Stegostoma tigrinum: one gene and its partners. The protein of the gene in region 1 purifies or fractionates together with the protein of each later gene. This does not show direct contact. Links are inferred from orthologs where the notes say so. Each region holds a gene or a part of one and is shown in the gene's direction. Other genes may lie near its edges. The genes, in order: lrch3, unconventional myosin-VI and sugt1.

Region 1 (10,553 bases):
TCACCTCTTGTTTACGTTGACAAAACCTTTAATCATCACGGGATAATGACTTGATCTGGAAGGAATCTGGATTTTGCATTTTGACCAGCAGTCTCCTTTCTAACTGATTAAAGATTCAACAAGAGGTGGCCAGTTTTAGGGATGTTACCTTTCTTCATATAATTTCTGTGTCTTATGCCCTCTCTCTCACACTATACCTGAGGAAGGAGCTGAGCTTAGAAAGCTTGTGTTTTCAAATAAACCTGTTGGACTCTAACCTGGTGTCATGTGATTTTTGACCTTGTCCGTCCCAGTCCAACACTGGAAACTCCACATCATATTTTTCAGACAAGAACTTCAGCAATCAATGCACAGGAGAAGTTGAGGATGGTGGTGTTGAAGTAAAGCATAGTCTCATTTAAACTGTTTTGGAAACTGATACTGTTCTTGAATAATTTTGCCAAGAGGTATTAAGGTAACCAGGGGACAATGGATAGATTCATCCAAGAAATATCCATTGCAGCAAATATAAGATGGGTAAGGCTGGAACTAGGGGATGGCGTATGCGCCACCCGGGCAAAAATGGAGAGATAGAGGAGGTGGTGTGATCAAGAATGCTAAAACTACAACAGTTGAGGAATAAGATGAGATACTGCACTGGTTGGATAGATTGCAATTGCTGATACTGATTACAACTCTTCATTTGTGGCAAGGGCAGAATTTGTATGTAGAGTGTAGGCTTGAGGCTTTAGCTGCATACAATTATCCTATCGGTCCTATAAGGGAGATTTTGAAGCTGGTGAAGTCCACATTGATACCATTGGGCTGCAGGGTTCTCCCCTTACCCCACCGCATCCCAAAACCAGCCCAGTTCGTCCCCTCCCCTCACTGCACCACACAACCAGCCCAGCTCTTCCCCTCCCCCCACTGCATCCCAAAACCAGCCCAGCCTGTCTCCGCCTCCCTAACCTGTTCTTCCTCTCACCCATCCCTTCCTCCCATCCCAAGCCGCACCTCCATCTCCTACCTACTAACCTCATCCCACCTCCTTGACCTGTCCGTCTTCCCTGGACTGACCTATCCCCTCCCTACCTCCCCACCTATACTCTCCTCCCCACCTATCTTCTTTTCTCTCCATCTTCGGTCCGCCTCCCCCTCTCTCCCTATTTATCCCAGAACCCTCACCCCATCCCCCTCTCTGATGAAGGGTCTAGGCCCGAAACGCCAGCTTTTGCGCTCCTGAGATGCTGCTTGGCCTGCTGTGTTCATCCAGCTTCACACTATTATATTGGTGAGCTTTATTCATTTGTAGTTGATGTTTGCCTTGTACAGAATTAAATAGGAATATAATCACCCCAACAAGTAATTCAGCATAACTCGACTGTCTGAATCGCCTCCTACCTCAAATGGGTTTTGCAGTATAATTTTCTATTCCCTTTTCTCTCATACACATGTTCTTTTTTTATTATTGCAGCTTTGCCTTCCCATGATGAGTTCCACATTCTAATCAATGAGGAAAGAAATTTATCTGAATTTTTGCAAGGACCAAATGGCCTTCTGCTCTTCGTTCCCTGTTGGATTTAATCAATTTTGCTATTTTCTGACTGATAGTTTTAGAGTTTACCACCAGCAGAACTTTCTCTCCCTTGACCAACCTATTCAACGTAGAGAAGTGCAAATTATTGCACTCAAGAAAGAAAGAAAGAAAGAAAGTCAAGACACATATTCTCTGGATAGTGCTGAAATAAATGAAGGACTTCGGAGATTTTACAGGCTCAACAATGTGGAGTAGCAGATAATATAGCCAATACTACACTGAGTCATCAAACCAAAATATAGGAAGTTGTATAGTACCCTGTCTGACCACACATTAAGTACTTATATTTCACAAACCAGTGGGGAACTAAAGAATTAACAACAGGAAGAGCTACTTCATTAAAAAAAAAACCACTGGACTTTATTGGATTTTAAGCTAGACCCTGAACTAAGACAGGCTGATTTAAACAATTAAATGCTTAAATAGGTGACTGTATGGTACATCTTGCTGAATAAATTAAGGTGGATGAAATATCTTCTTCATCAGTAATTATTTAGTGAAGTGGTCTATATTAACCAACCATATTTCCCCTGGTAGAGACTAATTTTGTGCAATCATGGTGCTGCTTTGTTAAACTAGGCCTCAAACCCATGAATTTTCCTCGGATTAATGTAAGGACATCAATGAAAGTATATTCGTCCTCAAATAAGGAGGCATGAACCGTCCATAGTATACTAAATATGATCTCAGCAATGCCCTGCATTCCATTTCTCCTTGCAAGAAAGGCAACCTCCTCCACAGATCTCCATTTTGACATGGTGGTGAGGCCTGTGTGCTCCATTGATGTTTGAGTCATGCTTCTTGCTCTGGGTAAGGTTACTGATTTTGGTGAGAGATAAAGGCGAGATGCCAGAAAGTCCTCAATGCAAAGCAGGTGAAGGAAGACTACATATCACTGGCTGTGAAGGCTGCAGTGGCCAAGAGGTCATGATTGCTGTGGTACATCATTGCAATCTGACCATGAACCCATCAAGATCATGTGGACTGCACAGGCTTCTATAAGGATCCATTTGCCAAGTCCCAGATAGGACTGTGAATTTGGGAGTCTTTAGTCAAGAATCTGCACACAAGTTGGACATCGTTGTGACTAAGCAGTCCTCTTCTGGATACCCTCTGTTCTCCCCAAATACAGAAGGGAATAGAAACAGTGCCACAAGAATAGACCGTCCCACTTTCTCCTGGCTGGGGAACTCCACTATGCAGGATCACCAACTTTGTGATCAAGAAAATTAAAACTAAAATTTTACAACTTGGAATCTTATATCATTTGCGATTAATCTTAGGAGTGACTATAAGAAGAACTGCAATCATATCACATGTACCATCAAGACTCCAAATTGACACCGCTGCTTTGATGGTCAGGGACAGCTGAAAGAAGAAGCAGGTTGTATACTGTCTACTCTGAAAGCGGAACTGACAGTGACTCTGATATCCATGGAGTTGGTTTTCACAGTTGCAACACTTGGATAAACTACCACAACTATCCAATTGTACAAATGAAAGGCACGTTACACAACACTTCCAGTTCATCCATAAAATGATGTACCATAGCCATGAATTGAATATCTCAAACCCTTGATTCAGATCAATGTATGAAAAGAGACGTTCTACTCTGACCTTGATGAAATCCTCCCTGCTATCCAAACTCTACCATTTCAGCCTTCAACAAATTACAACAATGTGTATTTGACAACAAAAGATATTCACTACTTATTAAAAGCAATGTCATTATCACACTCCTGTACTGCAGTGAGACTGATGCCATGTATCAGTGATACATAATAACACAAGACAAATTTCATCAGCAGTGCCTGTGCCGCACTCTCTGGATTCACTCGGAGGATCATTGAACAAAAGCTGGTGTCCTCATGAGGCCAGCTTGACAAACATTCAGGTAAAATCAACTATGATGACTAGACACTGACCAAATGGCTGCAAGTGTCTCTCTTCTGAAGTCATTTTCTCCTAAAATTCAAATGGCCAGCATTCCAATGGGGAGAGTGAAAACTCTACAAAAACACTCTGAAGCTCTTCTTAAAGCATGGCAACATTGACAGTAATGGCTCTTTATGAGTTCAAATATTTTAATAATGAAGCAGAGTTGTTGCAGAGAAGCAGAAGAAAGGAAGTAAATTGTGTACTCCAGATTCCTCTCCCATGTGGGATTTCCTGTCCCTTGTATCCAAAGGTCTGTAGGTCAAGAAGCAACCTCTTCAGTCACACAAAGACCCAAGGCAGAAACTTGCTTTCCTGAGTAGATGTCATCCTTCATTCAAGGGATAACTGACAAAAAAAGTTGCATCGGTCTTGCCAATTCATTTGTGTCTACATACTTTTTTTTGTATTGCACATACAAAAATACCCAAATCCTCAACCATAAAGTTCTGTATCTCTCTCCACTTAAATATTATTCAAATTGAAAGTTTGAGAAGAATTGTAGCTCAGGTTGTGGATGAGATTGTAGACTTGCTCACCGAGCTGGTGTGTTTGATTGCAGATATTTCATTACCCTGCTAGGTAACATCATCAGTGCACCTCCAGTGAAGCACTGGTGTTCTGTCCCACTTGTTATATAAAGGCATATAAATAACAAGCGGGACAAAGCACCAACACTTCATCAGAGGTGCACTGATGATATTACTTAGCAGGGTGTTGAAACATCTGTAATCAAACAGCTTGGTGAGCAAGTCCACAATCCCAATATTCTACTTTTCTATTCTTCAAACCAAACTGGATATTCTCATATTTTCCTACATCGTACTGTAGTCTACAAAATATAGGACAGTCTCTCAGCCTGTGTTATGAAAATGGTTGGGACGGCAGGGTGGCTCAGTGGTTAGCACTGCAGCCTCACAGCACCAGGGACCCAGGTTCGATTCCAGCCTTGGATAACTGTCTGTGTGGAGTTTACACATTCTCCCCGTTTCTGCATGGGCTTCCTCCAGGTCCTCCGGTTTTCTCCCACAGTCCAAAGATGTGCAGGTTAGGTGGATTGACCATGCTAAATTGCCCGTGGTGTTCATGAGTGTGTGGGTTATAGGGGGATGGGTCTGGGTTGGATGCTTCAAGGGGCGGTGTGGACTTGTTGGGCCGAAGGGCCTGTTTCCACACTGTAGAGAATCTAATCTAAAAAAATTCATGATTATTATGCATTTGATTTTGAAGGATCTTTGAGATACCCGAAATTGTTTTTTGTAAGGTCAATGAAAAGACCCATGAAAATTTTTTAACACAAGGCATTTCTTGGAAACCCCGAAAAATGATGCTACAAAATTTCTGGGCTTGGCTATTTGAACTCACTTAAAGGAAAACATCTGATTGTTTCTGGACTGAATTTTGTAGGTATTCTGTTTAGACAATGTTTGCTAGTCTGGAACAACAAGGTGTAGAGCAGGATGAACAGAGCATGCCAAGCAGCATCTTAGGAGCAGGAACGCTGATGTTTCGGGCCTAGACCCTTCATCAGAAATGGGGGAGGGGAAGGGGGTTCTGAAATAAATAAGGATAGAGGGTGAGGCGGATCGAAGATGGATAGAGGAGACGATAGATGGAGAGGAGACATACAGGCCAAAGAGGCGGGGATGGGGCCAGTAAAGGTGAGTGTCGGTAGGGAGGTACGGAGGGGAGAGATCAGTCCAGGGAGGACAGACAGGTCAAGGGAGTGGGATGAGGTTAGTAGGTCGGAAATGGGGGTGCGGCTTGAGGTGGGAGGAGGGGGTAGGTGAGAAGATGGTTAGGGAGGCAGGGATGAGCTGGGCTGGTTTTGGGATGCAGTGGGGGGAGGGGAAATTTTGAAGATTGTAAAATCCACATGGGAACCCTGCAGCCCAGTGGTATCAAAGTGGAATATGAGTTGCTGTTCCTGCAACCTTCAGGTGGCATCATTGTGGCACTGCAGGAGGCCCAGGATGGACATGTCGTCTGAGGAATGGGAGGAGGAGTTGAAATGGGAGGTGCAGTTGTTTATTTGGAACTGAGCATAAGTGTTCTGCAAAGCGGTCCCCAAGCCTCTACTTGGTTTCCCTGATGTAGAGGAGACCACAACAGGTACAGCGGATGCAGTATACCACATTAGCAGGTGTGCAGGTGAACATCTGCTTGATGTGGAATCTTCTTGGGGCCTGGGATGGCGGTGAGTGAGCAGGTGTGGGGGCAGGTGTAGCACTTCCTGCAGTTGCAGGGAAAAGTGCCAGGTGTGCTGGGGCTGGAGGGGAGCGTGGAACGGGCAAGGGAGTCACGGAGAGAGTGGTTCCTCCGGAAAGCAGACAAGGGTGGGGAGGGAAAATTGTCTTTGATGGTGGGGGGGTCGGATTGCAGATTGCTAAAGTGTCGGAGGATGATGCGTTGGATCTTGAGGTTGGTGGGGTGGTACGTGAGGACGAAGGGAATCCTGCTTTGGTTGTTATCGCGGGGAGAGGTGTGAGGGATGAACTGCAGGAAATGTGGGAGACGCAATCGAGGGCATTATCAGCGGCGGGTGAGTGTGGGGGGCGGCGGTGGAGTTGCAGTGCAGTCCTTGAAAAACGAGGACATCTGGGATGTCCGGGAATGTAATGCCTCATCCTGGGAGCAAATGCAGTGAAGGTAAAGGAACTGGGAATACGGGATGGCATTTTTGCAGGAAGGTGGGTCGGAGCAGGTGTATTCTAGGTAGTTGTGGGAGTCGTTAGGCTTGAAATGGATATCCTACCTGCTCTCGTTTTTTTCAACAAAAGTGAATCACGTTGCACGAATCATGCAAGTTGCAATTTTTAAAAAGACACTATATACGTCTCAGAGCAGCAGGATGCTGCTTGGCCCAATGTGTTGATCCAGCTCTACACCTTGTCATTCTCAGATTCTCCACCATCGGGCATTTCCTACTTTCACTGTATACGTCTCTCCGATAAGATGCACTTCGCCGACAGCCCAACAAACGGACCGGTCACATTGACCGTTGAGCGCGCACGCGCGGTTTGTCCAGCTGTTCGCACCTGCGCAGTATTGACCAAGGATTCGTAATGGCGACGGTGTCGACGATGGTGATGTCGGAGTGTCAACTCGGGATTGCAGGCGGTGGTGTCGGATTGAACGCATTCAGCGAGGCAGGGGGAGGAGGTAGTGGTCACAATGGTTCTGGATCGGTCCAGCCGCCTTGGAACAGGAGTCTAGAGAGAGCGTTGGAGGAAGCCGCTGCGACGGGAGTGTTGAGCTTAAGCGGGAGGAAACTGAAGGAGTTCCCCAGGAGCGCGGCGAACCAGGACTTGACGGACACCACGCAGGCGGGTAAGGGAGAGCACGCACTCGGGCAGCCTACTTCGCCAGGGCGATGGCAGCTTAGATCCAACGGAAATGTTTTGGGAGGTGACCAATGTAATTTAAACGGGGCGGCGCGTGCACAAGCAGCGCTGTGGCTCGTGTGTCCGAGCTCTGGGACACGCGCACGGGTGGAGACCTAGGCGTGCGACACCAAGGGTCGCTCGTCAGTGGTTCTCTGACTCCGCCCTTGGTCACTAACCGGTGATGCAGTAATTTGCTGTTTTTGGTGCTCGTGCCTGAGTACTTTGAAATTAAGTTACGACAAAATGTAATTTTCACAACGTCAGAAGCGTAATTCTGGATTGATTCCATCTGTATCGTTCATGGTAGATTTATTGTTGTGTCGGACCATGAAGAGTCAAAACACCGATCCAGCTGAAGGCAGGGAAGAGCCAACAATCCATACTACTTTTCATTTGTTTAAAATGTTGCATTAACCGTCGTTCGTGTAATTTTAGGCACTTATTTCTACTCCTGCGGTTTTAACCACCTATTCTGTTTCGTCCCTTGCATGATTTTTCCAATTCTTCCTCCTGTGTACTTGGACGAAACTGAACGTTTTCTTGAATCAGTCATGCATAAATATCATTTAACCCATCCAGCCGATCTGTCCAATAAGCCCAGTCTCACCTCCGGATTTCAGACGATTGTCAGGAGTATTAATGTTTGGAATGATACAATGATAGTAATCAATAATAACATTACAGTTAAGTCAGTATCTGGTTTATTGAACCGGATCTTCAGATTTTTAAGGCTCGTTAGCAATGCCGTGATTCTACCCGCTTTTCTCTGGTGGCTTTCATGACATTGGCAAATACTCTACGGGTAAAAAATGCCAACTTTGATTAGTTATATTTTACAAGAGAGACTGCCCTACAGTAGCTGGGTAAATTCATAATTGGATGAAATGATAGAAGCTCATTGGACAGTGTTGAAAACGACATGATTACAAGTTATTTATACAGTCTAGGGAAGAGGCCGACTTAGAGTTATAGAGATGTACAGCACAGAAACAGACCCTTTGGCCCAACTTGACCATGCTGACCTGATATCCTAGATAAATCTAGTTCCATTTGCCAGCATTTGGCTCATATCCCTCTAAACCCTTTGCCTGTCCACTGCATCTCCAATTTTGGTGTCATGTGCAAACATATTAAATATACCTTCTATGTTCACGTCCAAATCATTTATATAAATGATACTTGTTTAGAAAATGCCATAGATGTCAAAACAGAAAACTAAAGCTAAAAGGTTAAGTGCACAAATGCAGAAGAAAAAGAACTGATTTGATTGACTCAGAAATGTAAAGAACAGCAGAAGGTAACAAAGCAGCCAGTAAGAACTACAAAATAGAAATGTCAAAGATGTGCATAAAATGCCACTAAAACTGCAAATATTTTTAGAATTATGTTACAAAAAAGACTGTTAAGAGCTTTGTGGATGAGCTGAAAATATATGATCAATGATTTTAAAAGGAAATTGGTCAATGGGATTGACTGCATTAGTGGCATGCACCTGTAATCCAGCGATTTTTGGAGGATGAGATGATTGAATTCTTGAGACCATGTTCTGTCTTAGGGCATCCTCTTGTGGTACTGCCCCTACCCTTGTACCAGGAGGCCAAGGTTCAAGCCTCACCACCTCCAGAGGTGTGTAATAACATCTCTTAACAGGTTGATTAGAAGAAAAATGTTGCTGAATAAAGAGCTTTCGTTGACACACTGAGTTAAATGGCTTGCTTCTGTGCCATTATGACTCTTTTTAAATTAAAACAAAGAAAGGGGGGAACATGTTGCATACTTATTTGACATTATTATTTATAGCCAAGGAAGAGAAGGATGGCATCCCACTAATTCCAAAAAAATCCTTGTATTAAATCAGAGAATTAATGTAATAAAGTCAGAGTGGTATCCCAAGCGCCAGGTGATTTCCACCTCAGGATTTTAGAGGAATTTGTTGCGAACATTGCAGGTGCCGAAACTGTGAACATCTAAACACCTCTTGATTCAGGGACGATTACTTGGATTGGAAAATTGCAGTGTCACTCCTATGTAAGTTGACCAAGAGGGAGAAAACCATGAAATTACAGACAAGACCCTTGACTGATAGGGTTTAGGTGAATAATGAAGCTTGATAAGGATAGAGTGATTTTTTAGCAGGGAGTGACACCTCATACTGCATTTTGGGCCAGGTGGAAATTTTCTGAAAAGGTGATTGATATTTGGCTTTAAACAAGGATGCATGAAATTGTGATGCTATCTGACCACTTCTGTCATTGGATATTATTACAACTGTGGTGTACAATTAGCTCTCATAAACTAAGTGAAGTTAGTAATAATCACCTGAAGCGGGCCATGTGGTTGAAACTGCAGGTAGAATCTGAAAATCTTTTGCAATGATAAGTGGCTGTTTGGAAAATTATACCCACTGGCTCGAAAGAGCTAACAACTTAATCCCACTTCATTTCTGTTATGGAGTCAGAGTCATAGTCATGCAGCACTGAACAGGCCCTTTGGCCCAACACTTCTGTGCTGACCAGGTTACCCAACTGAGCTCGTCCCATTTGCCTGCATCTGGCCCATATCATTCTGAACGTTTCCTAGCCATGTACTTATCCAAATGTCTTTAAATGTTGCAATTGCACCCACTTCTACCACTTTCTCTGGTAGTTTGTTAATCCATATCAACAAATTTGTCCACGTTGTTTTTAAAAGTTATTAAAAATAATCACTTGATTCATTACTGTTAGTGGTAGACATTTCATTTCCAATCAATACTCTGCATAGAGAAAATAAATCCATATTCTTTGTGCTTGTATAATATTTGTCGCTTGACTGGAGAAATTCATTTTTCCAATTTACCATAAACATCTCAATTTTGAACAATGCTATTTTATTTATATTGCAATGAAAAGAATTCCACTTTCTCTCGACATTTTTTTTGGTCTGAAATCCATGATGACTACAGTCCCCCTATGTGCTGGCTTCATTACCTTCTGTAGAAGGCATGCAGAAATTGACATTACAAGCCATTGACGAGTGTTTTGATTCACTTATTTTTGTCATGTACTAAATGTACTCTGTGCCCTGTTTAAAATTTAATTATGTTGGTCTCTGATTTTGATTTGATCTGGTTCTGAACTCCATGCACCTCTCTGCTTCTATACTCTTTATAGCATGAGTATCATGTGAGAAACATGGTTTCTCATTTAAGATTCAAAATATTATCATTCCAAACCTCCATCCAATTTAACAGAGTTAGGACCTTTTTTTAGAGGGTTTCAGCTGCTCGGTAATTGCCTGTCAGCAGTTTCAGCAGTTTTGTTGGAATTTCCACGTCGTCCAGACATGTAACTCTCAGCTAAACTATTGCAGCAACTGTCTTTCTTTCGGAAGATCTAGGTCCTCATTTCGTGTAAAGGATTACAGCTTTAATTGACTTGTCACACCATTGACTCAAATAGGGCTTAATTTGTGCAAGAGTTGTACTGTGAGCTTCAGTTTAATACAGCTACAGAGGACTTGAGTCATAGAGCTGTATAGCATGGAAACAGATCCTTTGGTCCAACGTGCCTATGCTGACCAGATATAATAAATAAATCTAGCCCCATTTGCCAGCATTTGGCCCATATTCCTCTAAACCCTTACTATTTATATATCCAAATGCCTTTTAAATGTTG
Region 2 (10,599 bases), on another chromosome or scaffold:
TAGACGGTGAGAAAATTCACAACTCAGAAGTGCAAAACGTTCTGGGAGTGTTGGTCCAGGATTTTCTAAAGGTTAACTTGCAGGTACTTGCAGGTAGAGTCCGTAATTAAGAAGCGAATGTAATGTTGTTGTTTATCTCAAGAGGGTTGGAATATAAAAGCAGCGATGTGCTTCTGAGGCTTTATAAGGCTCCAGTTAGGCCCCATTTAGAATACTGTGTCCAATTTTGGGCCCCACACCTCAGGAAGGACATACTAGTCCTGGAGCATGTCCAGCGGAGATTCACACGGATGATCCCTGGAATGGTAGGTTTAACATATGATGAATGGCTAAGGATCCTAGGATTGTACTCATTAGAGTTTAGAAGGTTGAGGGGAGATCTAATAGAAACTTACAAGATAATGTATGATTTAGAAGGGGTGGACGCTAGGAAGTTGTTTCTGTTAGGCGGGGAGACTAGGACCCGTGGGCACAGACTTAAAATTAGTGGGGGTAAATTTAAAACTGAAATGAGATGACATTTCTTCAGCCAGAGAGTGGTGGGCTTGTGGAATTCATTGCCGCAGAGTGCAGTGGAGGCCGGGACGTTGGATGCCTTCAAGGCAGAGATCGACAAAGTCTTGATCTCAAAAGGAATCAAGGGCTACGGGAGAGTGCTGGGAAGTGGTGTTGAAATGCTCATCAGCCATGATTTAAATGGCGGAGTGGACTTGATGGGCCGAATGGCCTTACTTCCACTCCTATGTCTTATGGTCTTATGGTCTTAATCTCCCTTTCTTGTCACATTTTGCTTAATGTGTGATTACTTGTTTGACCTAGACTAAGCAAACATCGATATCTAACCTCAACATCTGTCATGTCCCTCTCCTTGGCGAATACCGATGCAAAGTACTTGTTAAGAATGTCACCCATTTTCTCTGACTCAGTGCATAACTTTCCTTCTTTGTCCTTAAGTGGGCCAATCCTTTCTCTAGTTACCCTCTTGCTCTTTATATATGAATAAAAGACTTTGGGAATCAGGAACAAAAACAAGATTTCAGGTCCAGTGACCCTTATGCAGAACTGGGGATCAGACTGACCTATCCCCTCCCTACCTCCCCACCTATACTCTACTCTCCACCTATCTTCTTTTCTCTCCATCTTCGGTCCGCCTCCCCCTGTCTCCCTATTTATTCCAGAACCCTCACCCCATCCCCCTCTCTGATGAAGGGTCTAGGCCCGAAACGTCAGCTTTTGTGCTCCTGAGATGCTGCTTGGCCTGCTGTGTTCATCCAGCTTCACACTTTATTATCCACTGCAATTTACTTCTTTTAACCGTTTGCTTCTTAGCTGTTCATCCCCATAGCAACCACAGGTCATGGACATTTATTGGAAACTCATCCTAACAAATTAATAATCTTTCAGCATACACTCTTGATTAATTTTAGTCTTAAAGGTACACCTCACAAAAGAAATTATAGGCATTGCTCGACATAAGGGTTCTCACATTCCCAGTGCTTTTAAGATGTAATACAACATTTGCAGTGGTGATACAATGGATGTATTACATCACTTCTGTTGACATTCATCAGTGTGAGCATTGTTAACAAAACCAATATTTGTTGCTCATTCCTAGTTGTTTTTGAGATGGAAATGGCAAGCTGCCTTCTTGAATTATTGCAGTCCATGAGGTGAAGGTACTTACACAGTGCTATAAGTGTTTTCTTAAGAAGGGTCCAGACCCAAAACATCAGCTTTCCTGCTCCTCTGATGCTGCCTGGCCTGGTACAAGTGTTGTACTTTAAGAAATTTTACTAGACAATGATTAAATAATAACAAAGTATTTCTGAATCAGGATGATTAGAAAAACACTTGTAAGTAGTTGTATTCCACTGCTTTTGCTGTCACTTTCCTTCCAGATAATAAATCTCATGAGATTGGCTGGTTCTGTGGGAAGTGCCATGGTGAGTTGTTGTTGTGTATCTTGTAAATGACACTGAAACCAGAGTGCCCAGAGAGATTGGAGTGTGGGGGGCTGTGTGTGTGCACATTGAGTGAACATTTAAATAATGGATGTGCCAGCCACGGATGACTGCTTTGCCCTAAACAGTGTTGTGTTTCCTGGATATTGTTGCAATGTCATTCATCTTGTGAAATATATTTTACCTCATTCTTTCCTTTTTCTTTGCAGATAGTAGAAATGTTTTGAGGAGTCAGGAGATGAACCTGTTTTTGCATAATGTCCACTGGTTCTTGTGGCCACAGCATTTATTCATTGGTCCAGTTGAGTTTAGGTCAGTGGTAATTACAGGATATTGATGGGGAGGGACACTGTGATAATAAGATTATAGATCATGGAGAGATGGATTAGATTTTTTGTTGAAGTTGGCCATTACCTGGCAACAATGTGATGCAAATGTTACTTGCATTGTACCTTTAAAATGAAAATGAATCTAGAATGTATTAGCACAATCCTGGAGGATGTTCAGGTTTGCCTACATTTACTAATGAATTGCTGTCAGAGGTAGAGCATGTGGTGCATCATTCCCAGTGTTATGGATCAGACTAAAGCCCTTCAAGATATATTAAGACGATAGCCTAGACCATAACTTTTTCTTATTTCAAGTACCAGGTATTGTGTTACAGATCTAATTCGATTGGTCAAACTTCTAGTCTTGAAGCAAAACACATTTCATTTATACACTGTAATTAATATACTACCAAAGGAAGAAAAAAATTGAAATAACGTAATTATGCTGGAAAACTTAACAGAATAATAGATTATTTAACTACGAAACAGTGACTGTTTCAACATAGTAACATCTCATAAACACACTCTTAGCAAAGGAAAATTCAGTAAAATAGATTGTCTCACATGCAATTCTCTAATCCAGCAGGAAAATCATCAAGACAAAACCCTAAGAGAGAGAGAGAGAGACCAAGTTGCAGGGAGAGATGTACTGCAGCTTCCAAACCCAACTTCAAGACCCCAGCAACTGCTACAAGCTAAAACTAAAAATCCTGGTTCTGTGGAAGCTTGACCCCAGCCATTCAGGCTGCTTTTATTGTTCCAACTTAAAAAAAGTGCCTCACAAGCTGTTTAATTTATTGGATTCAAACAGACAGCTTGATACCTCTGTCTTAAAACATGTCTTCAAAACAAAAAGGACAAAATGTACCTCTTAAAGCCATAGTATCATCACACTAGTGGCAGTGATACAGGATACATAGTACTATTTTGAGTGTTACAAATTGAAGCTCAATGTAGCTCTCTGTTGTTTCTGAATCAGAAGGTTAAGGTTTAAGTTCCACTCCACGGACTTGAGTGCAAAATACTGTTCAATACACAAATACTGTATTGAAGGAGTGCTGTGTAGCCTAACTGCTGCGATGTTAAACCAAGGCCCCAACTGCCATCATGGGTAAAACTCCCATGATACCACTTTGACGAACCAAAGGAAATCTCTCCTGGAATTCTTGGAAAATATTTATCCATCAACTAACATGAATGAAACAGATTATCATTTAATAAGGTATCACACATAAGGCTACTTAATAAGATGAGCTCATTGTGATGGGAGTAATGTGTTAGTATTGATAGTGAATTGGTTAACTATTGAAGACAGATTTGGGATAAAAGGAGCATTTTCAGGATGGCAACCTGTGACAACTGGAGTGCCAAAGGGAATAGTGCTAAGGCCACAATTATTTATATGTATATGATTTGGAAGAAGGAAGTAAATGTATTATTGCCAAGTTTGTACATGACATAAAATAGGTGAGAAGGCAAGTAGTGAGGATGACACAATGAGCCCACAATTTAAGTGAGTGAGCCAAAATTTGGAAATGGAACATGATTGCAGATTATCCATTTTCGCAGGAGGAAGAACAGGGCTGAATTTTATTTAATAGGGAAAGACTGCAGAGCGTGCAGAACAGACGGATTTGGAGTCCTTGGACATGAATCACAAAAAGCTAACTCATTTGTTCAGTTGGTAAAAGAGAATGCAAATTCACTATTGGCTTTATTTCTAAGGGAATGGCATGTAAAATAGAGAACAAAAACAGAAAATGCTGGAGAAACTCAATAGGTCTGGCATCATCTGTGGAGAGAATATCAGAATTGAATCCAGTGACCCTTTGTCAGAGTTCTCCATTACTTCCTACTTTTGTTTCAGGTCTCCAGCATTTGCAGTTCTTTATTCTAAAAATAGAGAGGTCTTTCTAAAACCATATAAGGCACTGTTCAGGCCACATCTGGAATACTGTGATCATTTTTGGTCCACTTATTAAAGACGCGAGATACAATAATTGGAGACAGTCCAGAGAAGGTTCACTAGGTTAATTCTGGGTATTGAGGGTCTTTTTTACGACAAGAGGTTAAGTAAGTCGAACTTGTACTCACTGGGCTTTAGAAGAAGAGACCTTATTGAAACATATAGGATTATGGGATCTTGAAGGATAGTTTCCCTCATGAGACAATCCAGGGCTAGAGGGCATAATCTCAGGATAAGAGGTTGCCATTTAAATTAGAGATGAGGAGAACTTTTTCTCTGAGGGTAATCACTCCAGGGAGTTCTTTACACCACAAAGGGCTGTCGAAGCTGGGTCTTTAAACATATTTAAGGCTAAGGCAGGCATATTTTTCACCAGTCAGGAAATCAAAGATCATGGTAATGAAGCCGGAAAATAGAGTTGAGGATTATCAGATCAGCCATGATCTGATTGAATGGCAAAGTGAACACAATGTCCCAAATGCTTCTATGTCTTTCATCCTTATCTGATCCTAATTTCAGTGTTGTTTGAAGAATATTTCTACGCACTAAGTGTATGTTACACCACTAGCTAGGCTAGAATTTTGTGCCCATCTCTAATTACTTGACTTAATCAGCGGCCTGTTTAAATGGCTGCAGTCTATCTGTTGCAGGTATTAGGAATGGTGTTCTTGGATTTTGAGCCAGCAGCAGTGAAGGAATGGTGAGATATCTCAAGTCAGAACGGCATGTCTTAGGGGAAAATTTGCAGGTGCTGGTGTTCCCAGGCATTTGCTTTTCCGTTCCTTCTAGGTGGCTGAGGTTATCTGTTCGGAAGATGGATTGAAGGAAACTTGGTTAATGTTCTGCGATATATCTCGTAGATGGTACTCACTGCTGCCATTGTTTGTTGATGGTTCAGCCATTGTTTGTTGACGGTTCAGCAAGTGAATTTTTAAGATGGTGAATGTTGTGTTGAACAAGCAAGCTGTTTTGTCCTGAATAGTATCAGAGATAATGGGAACTGCAGATGCTGGAGAATTCCAAGATAATAAAATGTGAGGCTGGATGAACACAGCAGGCCAAGCAGCATCTCAGGAGCACAAAAGCTGACGTTTCGGGCCTAGACCCTTCATCAGAGAGGGGGATGGGGAGAGGGAACTGGAATAAATAGGGAGAGAGGGGGAGGCGGACCGAAGATGGAGAGTAAAGAAGATAGGTGGAGAGAGTATAGGTGGGGAGGTAGGGAGGGGATAGGTCAAGGAGGTGGGATGAGGTTAGTAGGTAGCTGGGGGTGCGGCTTGGGGTGGGAGGAAGGGATGGTTGAGAGGAAGAACCGGTTAGGGAGGCAGAGACAGGTTGGACTGGTTTTGGGATGCAGTGGGTGGGGGGGAAGAGCTGGGCTGGTTGTGTGGTGCAGTGGGGGGAGGGGACGAACTGGGCTGGTTTAGGGATGCAGTAGGGGAAGGGGAGATTTTGAAACTGGTGAAGTCCACATTGATACCATATGGCTGCAGGGTTCCCAGGCGGAATATGAGTTGCTGTTCCTGCAACCTTCGGGTGGCATCATTGTGGCAGTGCAGGAGGCCCATGATGGACATGTCATCTAGAGAATGGGAGGGGGAGTGGAAATGGTTTGCGACTGGGAGGTGCAGTTGTTTGTTGCGAACTGAGCGGAGATGTTCTGCAAAGCGGTCCCCAAGCCTCCGCTTGGTTTCCCCAATGTAGAGAAAGCCGCACCGGGTACAGTGGATGCAGTATACCACATTGGCAGATGTGCAGGTGAACCTCTGCTTAATGTGGAATGTCATCTTGGGGCCCGAAACGTCAGCTTTTGTGCTCCTGAGATGCTGCTTGGCCTGCTGTGTTCATCCAGCCTCACATTTTATTATCTTGTCCTGAATAGTGTTGAGCTTCGAGTGATGTTGCAGCTGCACCCATCCAATATCACATTCCTGACTAGAGGATTGTAGACAGTGGGCAGGCACAGTGAACTCGCTATGAGCGGGATTATTTTTGAAAAGTTAATTGTGAAAGTCTTTGGGATGCCCTTACGATGAAAGGCGCTGTTCTCTGCAGTATCTGACAGACCGTGCATATCATGTGTTCTCACTGACCGTGTTCATTGTGTTACTGGGGGCCTCTCCGTCTCTGAGGGCCATCACCGTGACGTTGATCGTCCCAGGGCCACGAACATCGGATCACCAGGACCACAGGGACGGAGAACAGGAATATCGGCACCCACACCGGGCACAGGTGGGTGGGTGTGTCGGGGGGAGTATGGAGCACGAAGATCCACACTAGGAGGAGCAAGCACTAGGGCTGGGGGCAGGATCTAGCCACACAGCGGGTATGGGCGGGGGTAGAGAAAGAGGCGGAGCACCGGGAGCCGCGCAGGGGGAGGAGCGTTAGGACTGAGCAGGATCTGGAGACGCAGCGGGAACAAAGGGGAGGAGCACCAGGACGAGTCCTGTGGCTATCGAGGGGAAACAGACTTTCTGCAACGGCACTGGTAAACAGTTGACGGTAAGAGTCGGGGGGCGACTGAGGTTAAATGAGTAAGAGGGTCGGGCGTGTTGACAGCGAATGGGGAAAACTGTGCAGTGATTGTGGGTAGGTGTTTTAGGAGTGAAAGTGGGTGAGGTTGAAGGGTTTAGGGTACCAGGGGCCTGGTCTCCATGGTAAGATGTTGTGGAAAGGACGCCACGACCGGATCCACCGCTCAACTGGAACTAGTTTGGATGAAGAGTCTTTTCCATACCCGGGTGGAGCGGGATGGAGGAAAAAGTGGGGGTTTGGGGTTTGTAGAGAGTCCTTTCCCTGTTTGAGTGTTCCCGGCCCATTCTCTCAGTGAAAGGAAGGAGGTAGGGAGTTATGTCGATTCCGAACTACTTATGGATTCGGGCTGCTCGAGTCCCGAAGAGAGCTGTGAGCTGAGTTTGTTTTTATGACCTCTCCCGGAGCCCTTTTCGGACTGTATCCTGTTTCGTGCAGGAAACTAGAGATTCCCCCGGAAAATGGCTAGGTGGGAATCCTGTCTGGTTGTTTCCCGGTTGTTTTCTGGTTGTTGAATGACCAGCAGCTGCTTCCATTCCTGAATGTCTTTATATTTAAATCGCTTTCGATTTCGACTGGGTATTATCGTTTCGATATTTCGAATAGTTTCGCCTTTAAGCTGGTTGTTTTCTTATTCGCTTGTACTGCCCTTGTTTAAATCTCTGTTGATCCGCACAGCCCCATTTCCGAATGGTGGCGTCTAAGTTGAACAGACAGTAGATTAATGGACCAAGCGAAAATGTTGTTTTTCTCCCTTCGCGCTTACAATAAATACGCTGCTTCCTTATCAAAACAGCTTCACGCAAAATATCGAACGAAAATAAGTTGCTGGAAAAACTCAGGTCTGGCAATATCTGTTAAGACAAATCAGAGTTAAAGTTTCGGGTCCGGTTACTTCCTGAGAAATATGAGATCAGACCTGAAATATTAACTCTGACTTTTCTTCACAGATGTTGCCAGACTTGCTGAGCTTTTCCAGCAACTTTATTTGGGCCCCAATTTACAGCGTCCGCAGTTCTTCCGTTTTATCAAACAAGATACTGTTTGATCAACATCGATATTTCTAGTGAGATTGCTGTTCTCTGTGCGTATCGTAATCAATTTGTACTACCGGGAGTGTGAGACGACAACATTTTAAACGTCTTTTCTCATATGGTTGACCTATCAAAATTCTGCGTGATTGGTGAATGTTTTCTTGTCCTCCTAGCTATTAATCGTTCCTGATGAAATGCTATTTTAGTCCGTGCTTTGAGGGATTCTCCAAAAGTTTTTAAGTTTAACGTTATTAACCATTTATATAGTTTCCTGTGGCGAGGGTCCTGTTTCTGATATCTAGCTTGTTTTAGTTTTGGGTTATCCTCAGTCGGCGAAGGTTTACGAAGAGTAGGTACCACACAGAACTGCAAGGGAAAATGGAGCTTTGTTTTCTGGTTTGAGGAAATTCTAACGTGCTCAATCCCTCCCTGATACCTGTTTTTAACAGGTTTTGTTTGAAGCAGCAAATAATGTGATTGGATTTGTTTATCTTTGTAAATAACTAATTTGTGCATCACTTATGGAGTAAATGTTAAATCTACATTAAATAATCTGGCGTCAGGAACTGATTGACCAACTTTCATATCTCTGGTTGTGAGCAGTTTTTGTTTGACTTGGATTAAATATCATAGTATGATAAATTGCTGTTACTTTTCCAGAGCAGTATATTATTTTGTGTAAATTATATTATGTAAATATTGAAATAGAATATGGTCACAATTGTGATTATTTTGTTCAACTAAGGTGTATGGATTCTAAAGGTGGTTTAGTGGTACTAGTTGAAACAACTAAATTGTGCTGCCTATAATATAAAATCAAAGGATATTTTATAAATACCTCACTACTTTAGTGAACACGTCTCTGAACAGCTGTAAAATAACCAGTGCAAACCTTTTACACAAGATAAGAGGTGGAATCTGCAGAAGGATGTACTGTGCACTGTTTTCAATTGAAAATAAGTATTTGATGTAAGGTTAAAAGAAGGTAACATCAACGGTTCATTTATGCGTGCCTTTTTGAACTGGAAGACTTTAACACACAGGTTCTTCCACAAGCCTTCCAGTTTCATTGAGGCATGCACTGATGCATTAAAATAATAGATGATTTGTTGATAAATTGAGACGTTGATTTGGAATGGGAAAATGAAAGGAATGATATCACGGAATGACTGCAGATGTCATGTCATGTGTACATGATTAGAAAATGTTTAGGTTTAGCGAGGTGACACAAGTAAGATTCAACTTATAAATAAAGTAGTTGAATGTTTGAATATGTTCAAATAATAGAATTGATGTTATGTTATTTAATAGATGATGCAGTCTGGTCGCTGCTGTCATGGAGATTTGAAGGCTAATGATTTTCTATAATTCACAAAAAGAAGATTGCCTGCTTACTAATAAGTGATTAGAATACATTTTAAATTGGTTCATGATGTGAGAGATTTCACTGCTGCCCATTCTAAAAAATATATATAGTGTTTTTAAGTCCTAGTAGTACCAATCTAAATACCTGTTGTTCTGTTCATCAGAATGAAAGAAATGAAGAACTAAAAAATTTGAATCCATCCACTTGAAGTGTGACACTCTGATATTTCATTCTTAAAAGCTTGTGTTGTATTGCAGACTTTGTAACATGAGGTTAATGTGTATATTTGAATTGCGTCTAAAATAATTAATAAAGACCATTGTAATGTGATATTATCCAATTTTCTATATTTTTTCTGTCTATTTGTTCACATCAATAACATGGCTGATCTGAGGATGGTGCAAATCACAGTCTCAACGCATGGCTAAAACTTGTATTCTCACCCCAAAGTAGCAAAATCTTGTTCTCCGTTAATTGGAATAATTAATTGAGTTAACCTGCACACAATTCATGGTGCGCACAAAAGATTTGCACTTTTGCCTTTTGTGCATTAATGTTGTATCATTGCATCCAATTTATGCACAAATTCTCTCAATGTATTTTAAATAAATAAGGGATAAATGCTCGCTATGTCACTGGGGAGAACTCTTCTGCTGTTTGATTAATGCCATGGATTCCTTTACATTACTCTGGAAGGGAAAGTGCATTTTAGGCTTGAAGTCTCAACTGAAAGACGTATCTCCCTGTGCTGAATGCCAGTCTGGACTGTTTCCTGAAGTTGGTTTTTTTTTTGACACTTTTTTTTAAGCTGTTTTCTATTGACTAGTAAAATGAGTCTTGAATCTACAATTTTTGTTTAAACCCAGAAGTAAGAATGCCAGTAATTGAACCATGGCTAGCATACTGTTAATCACACTATACCTGGAGTAAAGATGAATATATTTAACACTGATTCTGTTGTAATACAGCCTCATTCTGTAATCGCTGACCTGAAACAAGAACAATGAAGGTAGTGCTCTCCATCCACCTTGCTTCAATCACTTAGACCTTCATGCTGATTTGTACCTCAAGTATAACATGGGGCTTGATTAATTTGGGAGGGCACTGGTACCAAAAAAAATCCTCTCCTCTTTGTTTAACTGTAGCCACAGCAACAAAATTTCAGAGGATGCTCCTCGTTTTGGTTTACCATAGAAAGCATTGGTGTGGCAAATTCATTGCAAATAGATGATTGAGATAGACACACCACACTGTGGTGTCCATTTTTCCTTCTACAGGGAGTGCTGGCTGTAGTATTTCCATGTAATGTATAGCAATCCCAAAATAAATATTATGAAATAAATGCATTTCTGAAGAAGGGTCTAGGCCTGAAACATCAGCTTTCCTGCTCCTCTGCTGCTTGGCCTGCTGT
Region 3 (10,660 bases), on another chromosome or scaffold:
ACTTGTGACAGATCTTTTATGACCTTTTTTACAAAGCACCAACTACCTCCTGATCCAATATCATTCTGGCATGTCTAGATATTCCAGAAATGACCACCCATTCCTCCTGCATGTCAGATTGTGCACATGTTACTATATAACAGGCCACTCAGTTTGTCATGTCTGTGCTGGCTCTCTATAAGAGCTTTTCAGCTCATCCTATGTCCCTTTCCTCCCCAGAGTCGTGCCACTGTTTTTTTTTTGTCTTCATGATCAGATGGAAATTGTGCACTCTTCCTGTAGCTGAATAGGTACATTCGCAGTCTTCCAATATGTGACCATAACTCTCTTAGTTTTAACATAGTTATGGAAAAAGATAAGACAAGCCCACAGGTTAAGATGCTAAACTGGAGCAGTGCTAATTTTGGGGCCATTAGGCAGGATCTAGCAGAGGTCGACTGGGTGAATCTGTTTGAAGGTAAAGGAATAACCAGCAAGTGGGAGGCTTTTACAAGTGTGATATCAAGAGTCCAGGGACAGTATGTCCCTGTTAGGATGAAGGGAAAAGCTGGTAGGTTTAGGGATCCCTGGCTGACAAGGGATATTGAGGTTCTGTTCGGGAAAAAGAAGAAGGCACACATTTGGTTTAAGCGATAAGGCTCAAGTGACTTCCAAGATTACTATAAAAAGTGTAGGAGCACACTTAAGAGATGAACAAAAAGAGGATACGAGACGGATCTGGCCATATGAGGTTCAAGATAATGCCACAAGGTTCTAAAGCTGTAATAAGAGTAAAAGGGTGGCCCGGGAAAGAACAGGTACCCTTAAAGTTCAGCATGACTGACTACGCATGTAGCCACAGGAGATGGGGAAGATTTTTAATGAACATTTCTCCTCAGTGTTTACTAAGGAAAGGATCATGGATGCTAAGGAAATAAGGGAAACGAGTGGGGATGTTTCAGAGCACATACATATTACCATCCAGGGGGCACTTGCAGCCCTAACACACATTAAATGGATAAATCCCTTGGGCCTGATTAAATCTATCCCTGGATTTTGTGGAAGGCTAGGGAAGAATTTGCAGAGGCCCTTACAGAGGTTTTTGCTTCATCATTAGCCACTGGTGAAGTCCTAGAAGACTGGAGGGTGGCTAATGTTATTCTCCTGCTTAAGAAAGGTAGCAAAGACAAGCCAAGGAGCTACAGGCCAGTGAGCCTGAAATCAGTGGTAGACAACTTATTGGAGAAGATACTGAGGGACAGGACCAACCAACATTTGGATAGTCAAGTCTCATAAGACATAGTCACGTGGATTTGTGTGCGGGAAGTCACATCTGACAAATCTTTCAGACTTTTTGTACAGGTAACCATGAGGTTGGATGACGGTAGGGCAGTGGGTATTGTCGATATGGACTTTACTTAGGCCGTCAACAAGGTCCTGCACGGCAGGCTGGTCATGGAAGTTAGGTTGCATGGGATCCAATGATAGGTAGCTAATTATATTCAAAATTGGCTCGATGGTAGGAAGCAGAGGATGATGGTTGATGGTTATTTCTCAGTCTGGAGGCCTGTGGCTAGTGGTGTACCACAGGGGTTGGTGCTTGGACCTTTGTTATTTCTTATTTACATAAATGATCTGGATGTGAATGTACAAGGCAGGATTGGTAAGTTTGCAAAATTAGGAGATATCATTGATAGCGAAGAAGGTTATCAAAAATTACAGACGAATGTTGATCAGATGAGGAAGTGGGCTGAAGATCGGCAAATGCAATTCAATACTGCTAAGTGTGAGGTGTTGCACTTTGGAAAGTCAAACTAAGGTAGGACTTATACAGTAAATGATAAGGTCCTGAGGTGTATTGTGGAACAAAGGGACTTGGGTGTACAAATACAGAGTTTGTTGAAAGCAGTATTACAAGTGGACAGGGTGGTGAAGAAGGCATTTGGCATGCTGGCCTCCATCGGTCAAGGCATTGAGTATAGGAATTGGGACATTATGGTACAATTGTATAAGTTGTTGGGTGAGGCCACACTTGGAGTATTGTGTAGACCCTGTTACACGAAATACATAGTTAAGCTGCAAAGTGCTCAAAAGAAGATTTACAAGGATGTTCCCAGGACTGGTAGGTCTGAGTTAAAGGGAGAGGTTGGCCAAGATAGGACTTTATTCCTTGGAATGTAGGAGAGTGAGGGGTGACCACATTTAGGTGCTTAAAATCATGATGAGCACAGATAAGATGAATGCATTTATTCTTTTTGCCAGGAATGAAAAATTAAAAACTAGAGGGCATAGATTTAAGGTGAGAGGGTAAAGATTTAAGCAGGATCTGAGGGGCAACCTATTCACACAGAGAATGGTGCATATATGGAATGGGCTGCCAGAGAACATGGTTAAGGCAGGTCCAAGAGCAACATGAAAAAAAACATTTGGATAGGTACGTGGATGGGAAGGGTTTAGAGGGATATGGACCAAATGCAGGCAATTGGAACTAGCTGAACGGGCGCCATGGTCAGCATGGAAGAGTTTGCCCCATCCTGTGAACCAGGCAATTCTATGTCAATTGATGGCACAATAACAGTTTACTTGGGCCAAAAACAGAAAGTTTTGGAGAAACTCAGAAGGTCTGGAGGCAGCTGTGGAGAGAAAGCAGAGTTAACCTTTCAGATCCAGTGTCTCCCTTATAAAAGGAAATGTTAACTCTGCTTCCTAATCTAACTCCATCTGCCTGTTCTTAGTTCATATCCCTCTAAATGAACTACACAGGGCATTTGGTGGCCCTTCTTTCAGAAGAAAATGTGCTAATCCCGATAGAGTAATACAGCACGGAAACAGATCCTTTGGTCCAATTCATCTGCACTGACTAGATAACTTAAACTGATCTAGTCCCATTTGCCAGCTCTTGGCCCATACCCTTCTAAACTCCTTCTACTGACTGTTATCTTATTCCTTTATTTTCCTAGTTTAAATTAGGAAAGACTTTAATGTTAACTACTACCTTATTTCTGTATTTTTCTATTTATTCTGTGAAGTAATGCTTAACTTTTTAAATGCTTTTCTTACTACTTTGTATCTAAGTTTTTTGTACCCAGGCACCATGATACCTAAGGCGGGGCCTTGTGTGGTGATATTATACTTCACTATACTCCTGTGCTTGAGTAACATGTCGCAATAAAATCTAAATCTAACTCTAAATTTATTCATGCATCCATCCAGATGCCTTTTAAATATTGTAATTGTACCAGCCTCTGGCAGCTCATTCCACACATGCACCACTCTTTGTGTAAAAAACTGCCCCTCTTTACCCTCTTGCCTTAAACCTATGTCCTCTAGTTTTGGACTCCCCTAACCTCGGAAAAACACCATGGCTATTCACCCTATTCATGTACTTCATGATTTTATAAACCTCTATAAAGTCACCCTCAGCCTCTGACACTCCAGGAAAATAGCCCTAGGCTATTCAGCCTCTCACTACAGCTCAAACCCTCCAACCCTGGCAAAATCCTCGTAAATCTGTTCATGAACCCCTTCAAGTTTTACAACATCCTTCCTATCGCAGTGTGACCAGAACTGAACACAGTATTCCAAACGTGGTCTAACCAATGTCATGTTTAGCTGTCACATGACCACCCCCGATCTCTTATACTCAATGCACTAACCAATGAAGGCAAGCATACCAAATACCTTCTTCACTGAAAATCAAAAGAACTACTGCTACTGTGAATCAGGAACAAAAACAAAGTTGCTGGAAAAGCTCTGCAGGTCTGGCAGCACCTGTGAAGCAGAAAACAGAGTTAATATTTTGGATCCGGTGACCCTTCTTCAGAACTGAGGAAGCTCTACAAAGTCACTTCCTAAGTTCTGAGGAAGGGTCATCAGACCCGAAATGTTAACTCTGTTTTCTCCTTCACAGATGCTGCCAGACCTGCTGAGCTTTTCCAGCAACTTTGTTTTTGTACCTTCTTCATTGTCCTGTTGACCTGCGACTCTTACTTTCAAGGAACTATGATCCTGCACTCCAAGGTCTCATTGTTCAGAAACACTCCCCAGGACCTTACCATTAAGTGTATAAGTCCTGTCCTGATTTGTCTATCCAAAATGCAGCACCTCACATTTATCTCAATTAAACTCCATCTCTTGGGCCCATTGGCCCACCTGATCAAGATCCTAATGTACCCCTGAGGTTACCTCTTCGTTGTGCTACGCTTCCAATTTTGGTCTCATCTGCAATAGAACATAGAACATTACAGCGCAGTACAGGCCCTTCGGCCCTCGATGTTGTGCCGACCTGTCATACCGATCTGAAGCCCATCTAACCTACACTATTCCACGTACATCCATATGCTTATCCAATGACGACTTAAATGTACCTAAAGTTGGCGAATCTACTACCGTTGCAGGCAAAGCGTTCCATTCCCTTACTACTCTCTGAGTAAAGAAACTACCTCTGACATCTGTCCTATATCTTTCACCCCTCAATTTAAAACTATGCCCCCTCGTGCTCGCCGTCACCATCCTAGGAAAAAGGTTCTCCCTATCCACCCTATCTAATCCTCTGATTATTTTATATGTTTCAATTAAGTCACCTCTCAACCTTCTTCTCTCTAATGAAAACAGCCTCAAATCCCTCAGCCTTTCCTCGTAAGACCTTCCCTCCATACCAGGCAACATCCTAGTCAATCTCCTCTGCACCCTCTCCAAAGCTTCCACATCCTTCTTATAATGTGGTGACCAGAACTGTACACAATATTCCAAGTGCGGCCGCACCAGAGTTTTGTACAGTTTCACCATAACCTCTTGGTTCCGGAACTCGATTCCTCTATTAATAAAAGCTAAAACACTGTATGCCTTCTTAACAGCCCTGTCAACCTGGGTGGCAACTTTCAAGGATCTGTGTACATGGACATGGAGATCTCTCTGCTCATCTACACTGCTAAGAATCTTACCATTAGCCCAGTACTTTGCCTTCTGGTTACTCCTACCAAAGTGCATCACACCACACTTGTCTGTATTAAACTCCATTTGCCACCTCTCAGCCCAGCTCTGTAGCTTATCTATGTCTCTCTGCAACCTACAGCATCCTTCGCCACTATCCACAACTCCACCGACCTTAGTGTCGTCTGCAAATTTACTAACCCATCCTTCCATGCCCTCATCCAGGTCATTTATATAAATGACAAACAGCAGTGGACCCAACACCAACCCTTGCGGTACACCACCAGTAACTAGTGTCCAGGATGAACATTTTCCATCAACTACCGCCCTCTGTCTTCTTTCAGCAAGCCAAGTTCCGATCCAAACTGCTATATCTTCCACAATTCCATTCCTCCGCATTTTGTACAATAGCCTATTGTGGGGAACCTTATCGAACGCCTTGCTGAAATCCATATACACCACATCAACCGGTTTACTCTCATCTACCTGCTTGGTCACCTTCTCAAAGAACTCAATAAGGTTTGTGAGGTACGACCTTCCCTTCACAAAACCGTGCTGACTATCCCTAATCAATTTATTCTTTTCTCGATGATTATAAATCCTATCTCTTATAACCTTTTCCAACACTTTACCAACAACTGAGGTAAGGCTCACTGGTCTATAATTACCAGGGTTGCCTCTACTCCCCTTCTTGAACAGGGGAACCACATTTGCTATCCTCCAGTCATCTGGCACTATTCCTGTAGACAATGACGAGTTAAAGATCAATGCCAAAGGCTTGGTAATCTCCTCCCTGGCTTCCCAGAGGATCCTAGGATAAATCCCATCCGGCCCAGGGGGCTTATCTATCTTCACCCTCTGTAGGATTTCTAATACCTCTTCCTTGTGAACCTCAATCCCACCTAGTCTAGTAGTCCGTATCTCAGTATTCTCCTCGACAACATTGTCGTTTTCTAGAGTGAATACTGTCGAAAAATATTCATTTAGCACTTCCCCTATCTCATCTGACTCCACACACAACTTACCACTACTATCCTTGATTGGGCCTAATCTTCTTTTGTCATTCTTTTATTCCTTAAATACCTATAGAAAGCCTTAGGGTTTACCTTGATCCTATCCACCAACAACTTCTCATGTCTCCTCCTGGCTCTTCTGAGCTCTCTCTTTAACCATTTTTTTGTCTTTGTTTTTAGTTTATTCGCCCCACTGCACTCCCTTCGCCAGATGATTCAGCAGCCCTGAAACTCAGGAGTAAACCTCAGGTACAGCGTCAGACAACGGCGGTGGTCCTTCGACGTCAAACCCTCCTTTACAAAGATGGCGTCAATCGCCGCGTGCGCAGGCGCGGCGGTTTCCTCTTGCACTCTGACGCTGACTCTTTGGCGGTGGCGCTCCCTCCCGGCTCCTTGTTCCAGAAGTTTCTAAAGCGGCGGCGGCGACGACGACGACGACATGGCGACAGAGCGGTGAGTTGTGTGCTGTGTTCGCTGTTCAAGTGTGCTTTCGGCTCATGTACGCTCCTTTTTTTAAAAAAAATCTGTTTGTTTTATGATGTTTTGTCAGAGTCATTACAGACCAGTTCATCGCGGAGTGTCCGGAGAAAGCACTGGAGGTGAGTGAAAGGTTTGTTTTTTTTTGTTTCTCAAACCCACCGCTTCGGCCTGTTAAGTTTCCAGTGTTGGGGGGAGTAAAGTGTTCGGAAAGGCACCTGTTTCTCCCGGTCCTTGAGCATGTGGAGGTGGGGCCGAACTCGGGTGCAGCATGGTTCATGCCGTGAAACTGGACCAGAGTGCCACAAATGTTATACTTGCAGCCATTCGGCCCATCGTGCCTGTGCCGTTCCTTCCCACAGGTCCCCGATTTCGTTTTTCTGCTGGTGGGTGCGTGGGAGTAATTGGCAAGGCCGGTATTTGTTACCTATTTCTGTTTGGAAGCTTGGACTCTTTGGACTGCTGCAGTCCATGTGGTGTGGATGCACCCACAATACTGTTAGGAAAGGCGTTCCTGAATAGTAATTTTAAAGGGTGCTCCATCGACAAGTTTTTAGTCGTCTGTTGTAATATCTCGCTGGCTGCGTATCATGAATATACGTGATAAATTAACATTAGGGAAGTAAATGTGTTGCTAAAGGAGTGGTGTGGGAAAGAGGGACTCCATTTCATGGAGCATTGGCATAGGCTTTGGAATAGGAGGGACCTGTACTTCTGGGATGATCTCCACTCGAACCGGTCGGGAATCATTGACGGGGTGGTCATTGGGGCTTTAAGCTAGTGAAATGGGATGGTAAGGGGAAATTGCAGGATGTATAATGGTAAATAGAAAAGGAAACAGCAGGTTAAAATTTTATGTGGGAGGGTTTAACTACATTGAGGACTGAAGGAAGTTAAGAGGAAGGAAAACTCAGGAGATATTAGTGGTGATGTTAGAATTCACAAAGGGGGTATAAAAACCAACATAAAGGTACTTTATGTAAATGTACTGTTCAAAACAAGGTAGATGATTTATTGGTCAAAATATTGAAAATGAGTATGATTTAGTAGACATTATTGAGACGTGGTTGCAGGATGGTCACAACTGGAAATTAAATATCCAGGGGCATCTGACTTTTCGGAAGGACAGACAGGAACATAAGGGAGGTGGTGTTACTCTGATTTTTAAGGGTGACATCAGGGCAGTAGTGAGAGATTTAGGTTTTGTGGAGAATAAGGCTGAGTCCAGCAGCCTTGCAGCAGCACATGGGCAACAAGTTATGGACAGAGGCAAGTGCAAGGGGGTAATCCTACCACTTAACCTCGGAGCAGCTGAGTGCCGGTTTGGAGTGCAATGGGCATTGCTGTTGGACTGGGGTGTGACACATGGTTGGACCATGTGCTTTGTGCTGAAATGTCTGTTCAAAATTACCTACCTTACTACAATGTTAACCTTTTTAATATTTTCTTATTTTTAACTTTAAGTAATGCAACTAGTTTTAATCCTCTGCTATATCCAAGAATTGCATCCAGGTACTTGCGCCTAAGATGTCGTCATCAGACAGACATTGTGAAGGTTTTCACTGTACTTCTACAATGGAATCCACAGGACAATGAAAGGATATTGTAAATTAGAAATTGTAAGAAAAAGTCACTGATAGGTGTAGTCTGTAAGCCACCAGATAATAACATCACATTAGGATGGGCAATAAACAAAATAACTAATGCCTGTAAAAATGGTACAGTAATTATCGCGGCAGGTTTTGATGTACATCTTGATTGGTCGAACCGAGTTGGTCAAGGCAGCAATTGAGAAGGAGTTCATTGAATATATTCACGATAGCTTTCTTGAGCAATATGAAATGGAACCGACGTGGGAGTGAGCTGTCCTCAGTCTGGTCCTGTGTAATGAGACAGGGATAATTAATGATCTCATCTTAGTGATCCTCTTGGAAGAAGCAATCACAGTATGGTTGAATTTAGAGTACAGATGGAAAGTGAGAACATAAAATTCAGTGCCAAAGTCTTGTCCTTAAATGTAGGAGACTACAATAGGATGAGGGAGGAGTTGGCTCAAGTAGATTGGAAGTAAAGGCTCTGTGGTGGGACAGTAGCAGCAATGGAGGACTTTGCATGCAATTTTTCAAAGTACTTAGCAACAGTATATGCCGAGGAAATGGGAAAAACTGTAGGAAAAGTGGTAGTCAGTCATGGATGTCTGAGGAAACAAGGGAGGCTATCAGAATGAAAGACGAGGCGTACAAAGGGGTAAAGACCAGTGCGCAACTAGAAGACTGGGAAAACTTTGAAGTTCAACAGAAAGCCACAAAAGGCTATAAAGAAAAGTAAGATAGTTTAGTCTCAGAAATCTCTCTCAGCATATAAAGACAGATAGCAAAAGTTTCTATAAATTTATAAAACAAAAAAGAGTAAAGCAGGTAGTTAAGAAGGGAAATATAATTTTGTTCTTCATTGTTGGGGGCATTGAGTTTAAAGGAGGGAGGTTATGCTGCAGCTGTATCGGCTGTTGGTGAGGCCACACCTGGAGTACTGTGTGCAGTTTTGGTCTCCTTACTTGAGAAAAGATGTACTCGCAGTGGTTAGGGTGCTGAGGAGATTCAGTAGGTTGTTTTCAGAGATGAAGGGGTTGGCTTATGAGGAGAGGCTGAATATACTGCCATTATATTTTTTGGGATTTAGAAGTATAACTGGGGATCTTATAGAAACGTATAAAATTTATGAAGGGAATAGATAAGATAGAATCAGGGAGGTTGTTTCCACAGGTGGGAGAAACTAGAACAAGAGCGCATATCCTCAAAATTAGGGGGAGAAGATTTAGTACTAAATTGAGGAGGAAGTTCTTCACCTAAAGGGTCGTGAATCTCTGGAATTCCCTGCCCAGTGAAATAGTTGAGGCTTCCTCATTGAATATTTTTAAAACAGAGGTAGATAATTTTTTTGAATAGTAAAGGAATTAAGCATTGTGTTGAGAGGGTAGATAAGTGGAACAGCCATGAACTTATTGAATGACGGAGCAAGCTTGAAGGGCCAGATGACTTACTCCCGGTTCTTTTGTTTTCTTTATTTACTTTGCCGTTCATAAAGTTTTCAACTTTTGGGAAGGTTTTCTTTTATTCATTCATGGGGTGTGGGTGTTGCAGGCTGTGTTAGCATCTACAGTCTTGTCACTCTTAATTATCTGGGAGAAGGTGGCTGTTTTCTTGAATTGCTATTCAACCCTCCCACACACCTAAGCAGTCTCAAAATTCAATCAAGTTTGTTTGATGTGTTCTCCTGACAGTCATCCTGACTTTCTGATTTGATTAATCCGGTCCGTGTTGAGACGACCTCAATGTTTTCTAAAAGTTTTCACTCCACTGATAGACGCGCTCGTCTACAGTAACCTGTTTATACTTAACCTTGAATTAATGGCACCATGCTGTCGGTCTTCCAGCCCTCTGCCACTTCTGCAGCCACAGAAAATTTGAAAATATTGGCAGTTTTGCAATATCTTCTGTTGCCCCTAGGATACATCTTGTTTGGACTGGGGATTTATCCAATTTTAAGGCTGTAATTATTAATGCCCCCTTTTTACCTTTTGAAATGGGATGAGTGAATGATTACATGCAACAATACATGGAAGTAAAACAGGTCTGGGCGTGTGGCAAGTATGACAGTTCGAAGTTCTGGATATCTTGTCTGGCAAATTAAATTGGAATCGGTGAAAAATAATGTGAATTTGGAGGTAATTACTGAAGAAGGCATTGTGGCTCTAGGATTTGTTAGCTATCTGATCGAATATGAATACAGAAGTAGGAATCGAACAATATGGAAGAGCAAGGTAAAAATTAAGTTAGAGGTTCCTCAAAAAAGAAGTAATGTTACTTTAAGGATTAATACAAAAACACATCTTGCAGGTGCTGAAAGTCTGAAATAAGAGCAAAAAATGCTGTAGAAACTCAATTTTAGAGAGGACCTGAGGAAAAATGTTTCAAATCAATGATCTTTGCAAGATTAAAGAAATCATGACTGTTGTCCAGAACCTAAACTCTGGAATAAAACTGGAAAGTGCAGGAGAACCTGAGTTGGTCCAGCAGCATCTGTGTAGAGAGAAACTGAGTTAAAGTTTTCAGTTCAGTCTTGTTCACATCTGGAAGAGTCTTTGGACCCAAAACAGTAACACACTCTCTCTCTCTCTCTCTCTCTCTCTCTCTCTCCAAAGATGTTAAGAGACTCGCAGAGTTATTCTAGCATTTTCTGTTTTCATTAATGATTTCCGC

What was found.
Region 2: the proteins of lrch3 (region 1) and unconventional myosin-VI purify together in Homo sapiens (co-immunoprecipitation; 3 studies listed by BioGRID and IntAct, with this or other methods). This does not show direct contact. The link is inferred for Stegostoma tigrinum from reciprocal best matches to the Homo sapiens genes LRCH3 and MYO6.
Region 3: the proteins of lrch3 (region 1) and sugt1 purify together in Homo sapiens (co-immunoprecipitation; 3 studies listed by BioGRID and IntAct, counting the BioPlex papers as one, with this or other methods). This does not show direct contact. The link is inferred for Stegostoma tigrinum from reciprocal best matches to the Homo sapiens genes LRCH3 and SUGT1.

What each region holds. Positions count from the first base shown.
Region 1 is NC_081367.1:48,775,011-48,785,563, reverse strand, and holds the start of lrch3 (DISP complex protein LRCH3), read left to right. Parts: upstream 1-6,561; 5' UTR 6,562-6,576; coding exon 6,577-6,841; intron 6,842-10,553. UniProt on the Homo sapiens protein: As part of the DISP complex, may regulate the association of septins with actin and thereby regulate the actin cytoskeleton.
Region 2 is NC_081362.1:28,015,241-28,025,839, forward strand, and holds the start of unconventional myosin-VI, read left to right. Parts: upstream 1-6,630; 5' UTR 6,631-6,758; intron 6,759-10,599. UniProt on the Homo sapiens protein: Myosins are actin-based motor molecules with ATPase activity. Unconventional myosins serve in intracellular movements. Myosin 6 is a reverse-direction motor protein that moves towards the minus-end of actin filaments.
Region 3 is NC_081359.1:6,871,930-6,882,589, reverse strand, and holds the start of sugt1 (protein SGT1 homolog), read left to right. Parts: upstream 1-6,277; 5' UTR 6,278-6,363; coding exon 6,364-6,377; intron 6,378-6,473; exon of another isoform or gene 6,474-6,474; coding exon 6,475-6,523; exon of another isoform or gene 6,524-6,534; intron 6,535-10,660. UniProt on the Homo sapiens protein: May play a role in ubiquitination and subsequent proteasomal degradation of target proteins.